Linked DNA regions of Oryzias latipes. The protein of the gene in region 1 interacts with the protein of each later gene in a pairwise test. Links are inferred from orthologs where the notes say so. Each region holds a gene or a part of one and is shown in the gene's direction. Other genes may lie near its edges.

The links.
Region 2: the proteins of thap1 (region 1) and tpm3 interact in binary tests that used the Homo sapiens proteins (3 or more experiments, as listed by UniProt). The two-hybrid records come from large-scale screens. The link is inferred for Oryzias latipes from reciprocal best matches to the Homo sapiens genes THAP1 and TPM3.

What each region holds. Positions count from the first base shown.
Region 1 is NC_019870.2:29,950,297-29,954,450, forward strand, and holds the start of thap1 (THAP domain-containing protein 1), read left to right. Parts: upstream 1-1,354; 5' UTR 1,355-1,575; coding exon 1,576-1,646; exon of another isoform or gene 1,647-1,715; intron 1,716-3,281; coding exon 3,282-3,474; intron 3,475-4,154. UniProt on the Homo sapiens protein: DNA-binding transcription regulator that regulates endothelial cell proliferation and G1/S cell-cycle progression.
Region 2 is NC_019869.2:21,739,435-21,743,650, forward strand, and holds the start of tpm3 (tropomyosin alpha-3 chain), read left to right. Parts: upstream 1-1,381; 5' UTR 1,382-1,492; coding exon 1,493-1,606; intron 1,607-2,199; coding exon 2,200-2,325; intron 2,326-4,216. UniProt on the Homo sapiens protein: Binds to actin filaments in muscle and non-muscle cells. Plays a central role, in association with the troponin complex, in the calcium dependent regulation of vertebrate striated muscle contraction.

The sequences.
Region 1 (4,154 bases):
GAGACAGTGGATCATAAATCATCGTCCCAAAACGCTCACATTAATTATGTTTACTTTGTGAAATCGATGACGTCAAATCCGCCGTTAAAAAACAAAAGTAGTGAACGTGGCGTCCAAATTCCTTTTAAAATCCAGGGCTCTACATAATAGTGCTGCACATAGGGGTTAGGGCGGGAATTTGGACGCAACCTTAGTATTTATAGAGGTGGGCGGAGTCACAGTAACGGCACTGCATGATTGGACCCTTGCCTTATGACCTCATAGGGAAAGAAAGCTCATTGTGAGAAGAACCCTCCACGTGCCGCGGTGGCGCCCGGCCCGGGCTGCCGACGGCTGGGTTAGAGTAAAATACAGGATGAACAACAACCCCCACCCCTTTCATCCAGGACACCTACAGATCATTTTGACCAAATCAACCAAACAAGACAGAAATCTTTGGTCATTAATGTCTAAAAAAGGTTTTAGGAGTTAAAAAAAGGAATATTCTGTGAGTCTCTGAAACAACTTGATCTATACTTTCCCTTTTTTTAACTCAAAGAGAAAATGTGAGTATGAACCCCAGTGAGCAGCTGAAAAGCCCAACAGAGACCGTTCCCTCAGACAAACATGACCCAAAGACAGCTGGTGACCTTTGACCTCACCACCGCGGAACGTGGACCAACACTGCAGATGCTCCTGGTTCGGCCGCCGTAAAGCGGCTAGAAGGAAGGCTCTCCGGCGGCTCGCCAACACCGCCCAAAACATGCTGGGTGCCCCCTCCCCGCCCTGGAAACCCCCCCACAGCTCCCGCTGCCTCAGCAGAGCAGAGAGCCTCATCAGAGACGCTACACGCCCCGGACCGCCGCCGTCTGACCTGCTGCCTTCAGGCAAACGCCGCTGGTGAAGAGAGACGGAAAGACCCAAAACCATTTCCCTCCAACCGCCATAAACCAGTTGGAGACGCCAGAAACCGTGAAACCTGGACGTCTGCTGGTCACTGAGGAGACTGTGGACGTCTGCTTCATATTTAGGATCATTGTCTTTACTTTCAACCATTTCAACACATATTGAAGCACTTTTTCCCCACAACTTTATATTATAAAGAATGAGTCACGACAACACAGCAGCTTCAATAAAACTCATTACATTTTCCTAATAAGAACGAGAAGGGAAAAGAACAAAAAGCTGGATTGTGTGACATTTTACTCAATATCTACATCCAAGCCCGTTTTATGTCGTTTCGTCCATTATTTGTTATTTTAGTAAGTTTTTTTTTTTTAAAGGTATGAATGTTGCACTGACACGAAGACACGTTAATGTTATTGTACACGTGACACAGATCTCTGTATCCCTGAAATGCTCTCATAATCAATCAGTCAATCAATGGCAGCTGTGCCTGTTGACGGTTCAAACTCGTCTCCTCCACTCCCGCCCGTTGGAGGAAGCGCAGCTCTCCAGCGCTCTGCGCATGCCCAGAGAAAGCCTGAGCCAATCACGTTTCAGAACACAGATCACGTGATTCTTCCGCCGCCATAGTTGTTAGTGGCAGCGAAGCCCTCGCTCTGTCCGCGTTCGGCTGCTGTCCGGGCCGCCGCCATGGTCCAGACGTGCTCGGCGTACGGCTGCAAGAACCGGTACCACAAAGACAAAGACATTTCCTTCCACAAGTAAGCCCCTCCCACAGAGGCGGACGCTCCGCCGCCGGAGCGCCGGTTTTCCGGGAAGAAAACCTCCCGGTAAACGCACCTAACGGAGACGTTCCCTCACTCGCGCTCCGATCCACGGTGCATGATGGGAAAATAAAAAAGAAAGTTTGGGTCATGAGTCCGTCCGTCCGGTACCGGCGGGTCCACATGCTGCTGGTGGTTCTCGGTCAACCGAGTGACTGCTGGAATCCCGACTACCGAGTACCCTTTGAGCAATGCTTCAACAGGTTTAGGAGGTCAAAGGTTAACCTTCACCACTCATCCGGGTCTGTCCGGTACAGACGTTTGGACTGAACGACTTAAGGACGGTAGTCCGCTCCGGTTTCGTTCGATACCTGCAGTGATCCTACGGTGTCAAACCGTTACACTGGATTCAACCGGTCAAACACGTTTATTCGAGTCCCACTAGAGGCAAAGAAAGGCTTTCAATGGGTTCATCTTTTCTACGGTGACCCTGAAGTGCAAATAGCTTAACGTGAAGCATTTAAAAACTCACAACGACCAATAAAAAGCGAAACAAATAATCAGAAACTAAAACTATTCCTAGAAATGTTGGGAAAATGAAGCCCAAGGAGAAACCAGAAAGGTGGATTTGTTGGAGGATCATGGGACGGATGTATCCACGACCTTCATGTCAGCTTCTGACTGACATGAAGGTCAAGCGTCTTCGTCCAATCAGCTCAGTCCTATGGACCTTTTCCGGGTTCTCATTGTTTCATTTTACATCATTTCATTTCGTTTTCTGTATATTTTTTTTAATATTTGTTTGTATGTTGTGATCTTAAAAAGGTTTTGCGTCACATGACTTATTGATGTGATTTGTACTTCAGGGCCACCGTACTTTCCTGTTGCAGTCAAAGCTGACGGCTGGATATCTCCGTTATGCTGCCATTTTTGTTGCTCTGCTAATGTTAGGTGGGGGGCAAAGGGATGATGGGAATCAGGGCGGGCTTAGTCCACATCAATAGCCCCGCCCACAACTCGGAGGTGAATTTGTGATCAGCTCCTGCCGCTCTGCAGACACTGTTCTAGAAAAGGAAAATGGTAAAAAAAACCATCGTTAAGACCTCTGGGAACACTTTGACAGCTCATTGGGTGATGGCAGTTTAAGACTGAAATGACTGACAGGAATGAGAAATGAATATGCAACCAGCTCAGCGGCCCTGTGGTCAGTGTCCACCCTGAGACTGGAAGGTCGTGGGTTCAAACCCAGGCAGAGTCATACCAAAGACTATAAAAATGGGGCCCAATGCCTCCCTGCTTGACACTCAGTATTAGGGGGTTGGATTGGGGGGTTAAACCACCAAATGGTCTGCAGCTCACCGCTCCGCCAGGGGGAGGGGTCAAATGTGGCGCAAAAAAGGTCACACAGATGGTGTGATTTAATTTAATGTTAATGGTCGTGGAGGGGGGAGAATAAGTCACTACCAGGACCTTGTTGGCTCTCTGTGGCAGAGTTTACGGTGACGGGAGCCTCTGCACCTTTAGATACGTTTAGAACTTTACTGGAGATTAAAACATTTGTTTACCAGACGGAAGCACAGAAACGTGTCCGGCGATGGGCTGAACGTGGTGTTTGTCGTCCCGGACTGCAAGGTTCCCGTTGGCGCGTCCGGACGTTTGCGGGAAGTGGGTGGCGGCCATGAGGAGGAACAACTTCAAACCAACAAAGTACAGCAACATCTGCTCCCAACACTTCACCAGCGACTGCTTCAAGAGGGAGTGCAACAACCGCGTGCTGAAGGAGAACGCCGTGCCGTCGCTCTTCAGCGCCAACCTCAGCTTCAAGGTAACGCGGCTCAGAGGGCCGATGAGGAGCGCCATGACCACGGGCAGCCATGCGTCTTTTCTGTCTGTGGGGTCTGTAGCATAAAGTATGTTTATGGATTTGTATGCATGGATTTCATACAGAAATCTGATTGGTCCAGTTTCTGACTCGGCTAGTGATGCTCCGCCCACAAACGTGTCCATGGCGTCTAGGCCGGTGGTTGTAGGTTTCACGGCCTGAAACCCGTTTGGGAAGCAGGTGAACAGTGTTGTGGTGCATTGTGGGTCAGCAAAACAGTGTTGTGGTGCATTGTGGGTCAGCAAAACAGTGTTGTGGTGCATTGTGGGTCAGCAAAACAGTGTTGTGGTGCATTGTGGGTCAGCATTGTGGGTCAGCAAAACAGTGTTGTGGTGCATTGTGGGTCAGCATTGTGGGTCAGCAAAACAGTGTTGTGGTGCATTGTGGGTCAGCAGACCAGCGACGGCTCAGCCTTACTGTAAAAGGTTTTAATCTGAAACAGACTGATCTGCTCTGATTTAGTTTTTTCTCACGTTTTCTGACTTCTACAGGTTTCTAACCTGAAGGTCGTCTCACAGCCGCGACCTACATTATTGCACATTTTCCTCGTATGATTCAGTCGTTCATACGTGTCTCTTTCGTCATCCGTGGAGGGTTTCAGCCGACGGGTTTTGAACTGCTAA
Region 2 (4,216 bases), on another chromosome or scaffold:
GTCTTAATTCTAATCCAACAATGTCCCCATCTATTAAAAAAACTTTTCTTTAATTACAGAAAACAAAATATAGCATATTCCTATGTTTTGCATAATTTCATCAACTATCGTCAAACTAACAGAACCATTAAACACTTCTCTCTGTAGAGTCGTCTCCACCAGCATGGCCAAGCTGCAGACATTCTTTTGTTCTGATCCGTAGGACAATGTCAGCCAAAACATGTTTATTAATAACCCAGCAGGGCTTAGACAGGAATAAGCGACACATTCACGGTTGTGTATTCCCTGGAGAGATCCCGTTATAGTTATCCCAGGGCATTTGGCACTCAAGCACACAGTTAATGTTTCTCTTGGCATTGTTTGCAGCTCCTTCTTCTTTCATCCTATAAGACGCTGTCACATTTTCAAATAGAGTTAAAGGGATCATAAAAAAGAAAGAAACCCTTCAGGTTCAGTTTCAGTTGAATTGACACACACCAGTAAAGGCTGCGGTCTTGCATTTGAAGTTATTGTTGCTTCATGGAAGACATTTCAAACACCACAATTAGGTTTTTGCTGTGGTGGGGGCATAGACTATTGGAGCCCCTCTAAAAACAAGAGTGGTTTTTCTCCTTAACAATATTTGCATAAACTGTACGGTTATAATAAAGCTTTCAGTTATTAATCAGTGCATAAATGAGGGAAGGAGTTTAAAGCAATAACAATTCTAATATTGACACCCGATGAAAAGGCAACACAGAATGTCAGGGACAGAATATTATGAGGAAATCTCAACTGAACTGCCTCAATATTTTTGTCAGAAAATGAAAGGGAAAAATGATTTTGACTAAAATGAGGTTTTGAACTTTTCAGGTTTTATCTGGTTCCTTTTTGTCTGGGAGGGGGGAAAGGGGTGTTACAAGGTAGGTAATAAAAACATTTTTGCCAAAAAAGTTTGATTTCTCAACTCACTTTAACAGATGTTTACTACAGAAGACCGGAATAGCCATGTCAATTTTTTTCTCTTTTCTCGAGATAATAACCTAAAGACTCATTATCATGAGAAGAAAACACCAGTTTTCTAAGGATAACAGAATAAAACTAAAACTTATCTTGAAATCTCGAGAAGACAGAAAAAAAATTATTTTAATTGGAGATTGCTGAATGTTGTGTGTGATTCTCCACAACCCTGTAAGATTACTCATATTCTAGATGGAATAAATACAACACAAAACAGGAATAACAAATGTTTGAACCTTGATTTATGATGGAAAATGGCAAAACACACGTGCTCTTTTAATAAATGTTGGACAGAGTTCTGGGACAAATGGGTGTAACGTTACCCACTTTGTCACAAAGGGTGGGATTAAAGAAGGAGGAGCTAGGTGTCTGCTATATAAAAATATCTTGAGTGAGTTTGGTTCTTCCACCAGCTTAGACAAGCTCTAGAACCTGTTTTAGACAAAATCCTCTGTTTGTTTTCCCTGTCAGCTTCAGGAACCCAACAGCCAAAATGGAAGCCATCAAGAAGAAAATGCTCATGCTGAAGTTGGACAAGGAGAACGCACTGGACCAGGCAGAACAAGCTGAGGCTGACAGGAAAGCAGCTGAGGACAGAAGTAAACAGGTGGGTCATGGCAATCTATAATGTAAATACATTTAAAAGACCTACAATTATCTAAAAAGCACAACATTTTTTTTGGAAAAAGCCATAAAAACCAACAATCACTGTTAACATTTTAACTCCCAGCTCAACAAAAAAGTTAAGCACATAGAAAAAAAAAATTGTATTTTAAAAATTGTTCTGATCACCGACCCCAGACAATGATTACTAAAGATTTACATTTTTTTTACTGATGGGGTTGTTGGAAGGTTAAAAAAAAGCTCCAGAATTTAAGCCTCCTCTACTTTGAGGGTAAATAACAAAAATTGTTTTCAGTCACTGTTGTCAATAAAGATAAAGTTAAAAAATATGTACTACAACTTCTTAATTTGGGGAATAATAAAGTGTCTTTGAATAAAACCAGAGGTCTTAAACTGAAAACAAAATAAAAAAATTCTTAGAGGGTAAGAAGAATTGTTTAAACATAATATACAAGGGAGTGTAATAACATAGGGCAATTTCATATGCATTAAGTGCAGCTCAGTATATCAAAATAGGACTTTCTTCAGGTTACCTGCTGTGTAGATGATTTATTTTCCTTGTCGGTTTGTCTTCAGCATGAAGATGAACTCCTGCAAATGCAGAAGAAGCTGAAGTCGACGGAGGATGAGCTGGATAAATACTCTGAGGCCCTGAAGGACGCTCAGGAGAAGCTGGAAGTTGCTGACAAAAAAGCAGCTGATGTGAGTAATCATGCAACACTAAGCTCAGCTGCTGCACATAGGATCGTTAAACTGAGAAAGAACCGTAAAATACCTGAATGTTGTTTTTTTCCAATTAAATAAACCCACTTTATATTATCTCTGCATCTTTGGTCAAAAATGATCAGTTTTATATCATTTTATAACATAATAAACAGGAGGTATACCATTGGAAAAAACCTATCCTCTGGGTTTGGGATGAGCCATGTGTGAGGATGACATGAAAAGAGGTTTTGCATTGTTGTGCGGTGAGAGCCCGGGGCACAGACTCAGACAGAGGCAGTTGATGTGGTTCGTCCCAGCCAGGCCTGTCCTCCTGTGCTGCATTCCCAGCATGCCTTGCCTGCCTCTCACAGCTGTTGGTGGGATTTAAATCCTGATTTCCACTATGATGTCACCATCATAACCTTGAGTGTAAGCCTCACAATAGTTCCAGTCTTTTTTTGGTCCTTCAGCCATTCCTGTCAGGTCACTTAACAGTTGTTTTAAGTCTTCAGTCTTGACACTCTGTATAAACCTGACGGAAGTGTTTTGTTGGCTTTTTACAAACAATATTTTATAATTTCTTTGTTAAAATCTTCCAAATTTTAAGAACAAACTACCTTTTGCAATATTATTTGTAAATTCTAAAAATCACAATAAATACAAACATCTGTTTAGGCTGTGCTCCACTTGTCCCGAGTTGGGATATGCTGCCATTATCAAAGGATAGATGAACATTTCTGATTTAAGAGCAGGAGTAAGCTTGCAAACCTTGTAAAGCCTTTTTTGTGAGGAACAGGGAGCGGGTAGTGTTTCACTGGTTCTCTAAGCAAATACAAATCAGGCAGCTCTGAAGGCTCACCAATTTCCATGTTTAGATGATGCTTAGTTTAAGTACCTCCTTGATGTTGTCGCATCTCTTGCCTGTGTCTCCACCCTCGAAGGGGCTGCTTTGGTTTTGACTTGTCGGCCACCTCCTCTGCCATGCCTCAGTCTGCAGAGGACCTTTGCATTCCTGCTGGCTGCAACCTCCCCGCTTCATCCTCTGTTTTCCCTGACTTCCCCAGTTTCATGCTCCATCTGCGTTTTATCTTAGGCGTACACTTTAAGAAGATCTGGAAGCCATTTTGGCATCTTTAGAAATGCTTTGAGAAATCTATGATTCAAGGTTGATACTCAGCGACAGCTGTGTGTTATTCCTCTGTATAAATCTTACACTGGCAGCTGTAATTGGAAAATAAACACCTTAATAAAGGTGACAAAGTCAATAAGTATTCATCAGCCTCTAATTCTATCCATTGTCCCACTTACTAAGATAAAAGAGGTCAGTAATGTTAATCATACATTCAATGAGAGAAAGAATGAAACAAAAAATATTCCAAGAAATCAAGTAGTATGATTTTTAATGAGTTATTTGTATGATGGTGCTGAAAATAAGTATTTAGCTCCAACAAACAGGCTAGAATTCTGTCCCACAGAGACCTGTGGCTCTTCTTTCCTGTATTAATGTCACCTGTTTGAACTTATTATCTGAATAAAATACACCTATTTATTCCCCTAAACATTCAGACTCCAACCTCTCCACCATGACCAAGACCAAAGAGCTCTAAAAGAGACAGCCCTTTAAATATAAATCCATTTGTCACCTATTACATAAGAATACTAAAGCTATAGAAAAAGTCCAGTTCAGATCCAAAAGTCTTTAAATAATTCTTGCATCTTTACTCCTGGAGGGAGGTGGCAACTGTGCTCCAGCAACAAAGAAGCAAACCCCACCGGGTTCATCGGGCTGGGAGCTCCTGCTGGATCCATGTTTGGCAAAGTATTCTGTCACAAGAATGGGCAGACGGCTGGATCCAAATGCAGCATGTTTATTAGCTCAGCTAAAAGT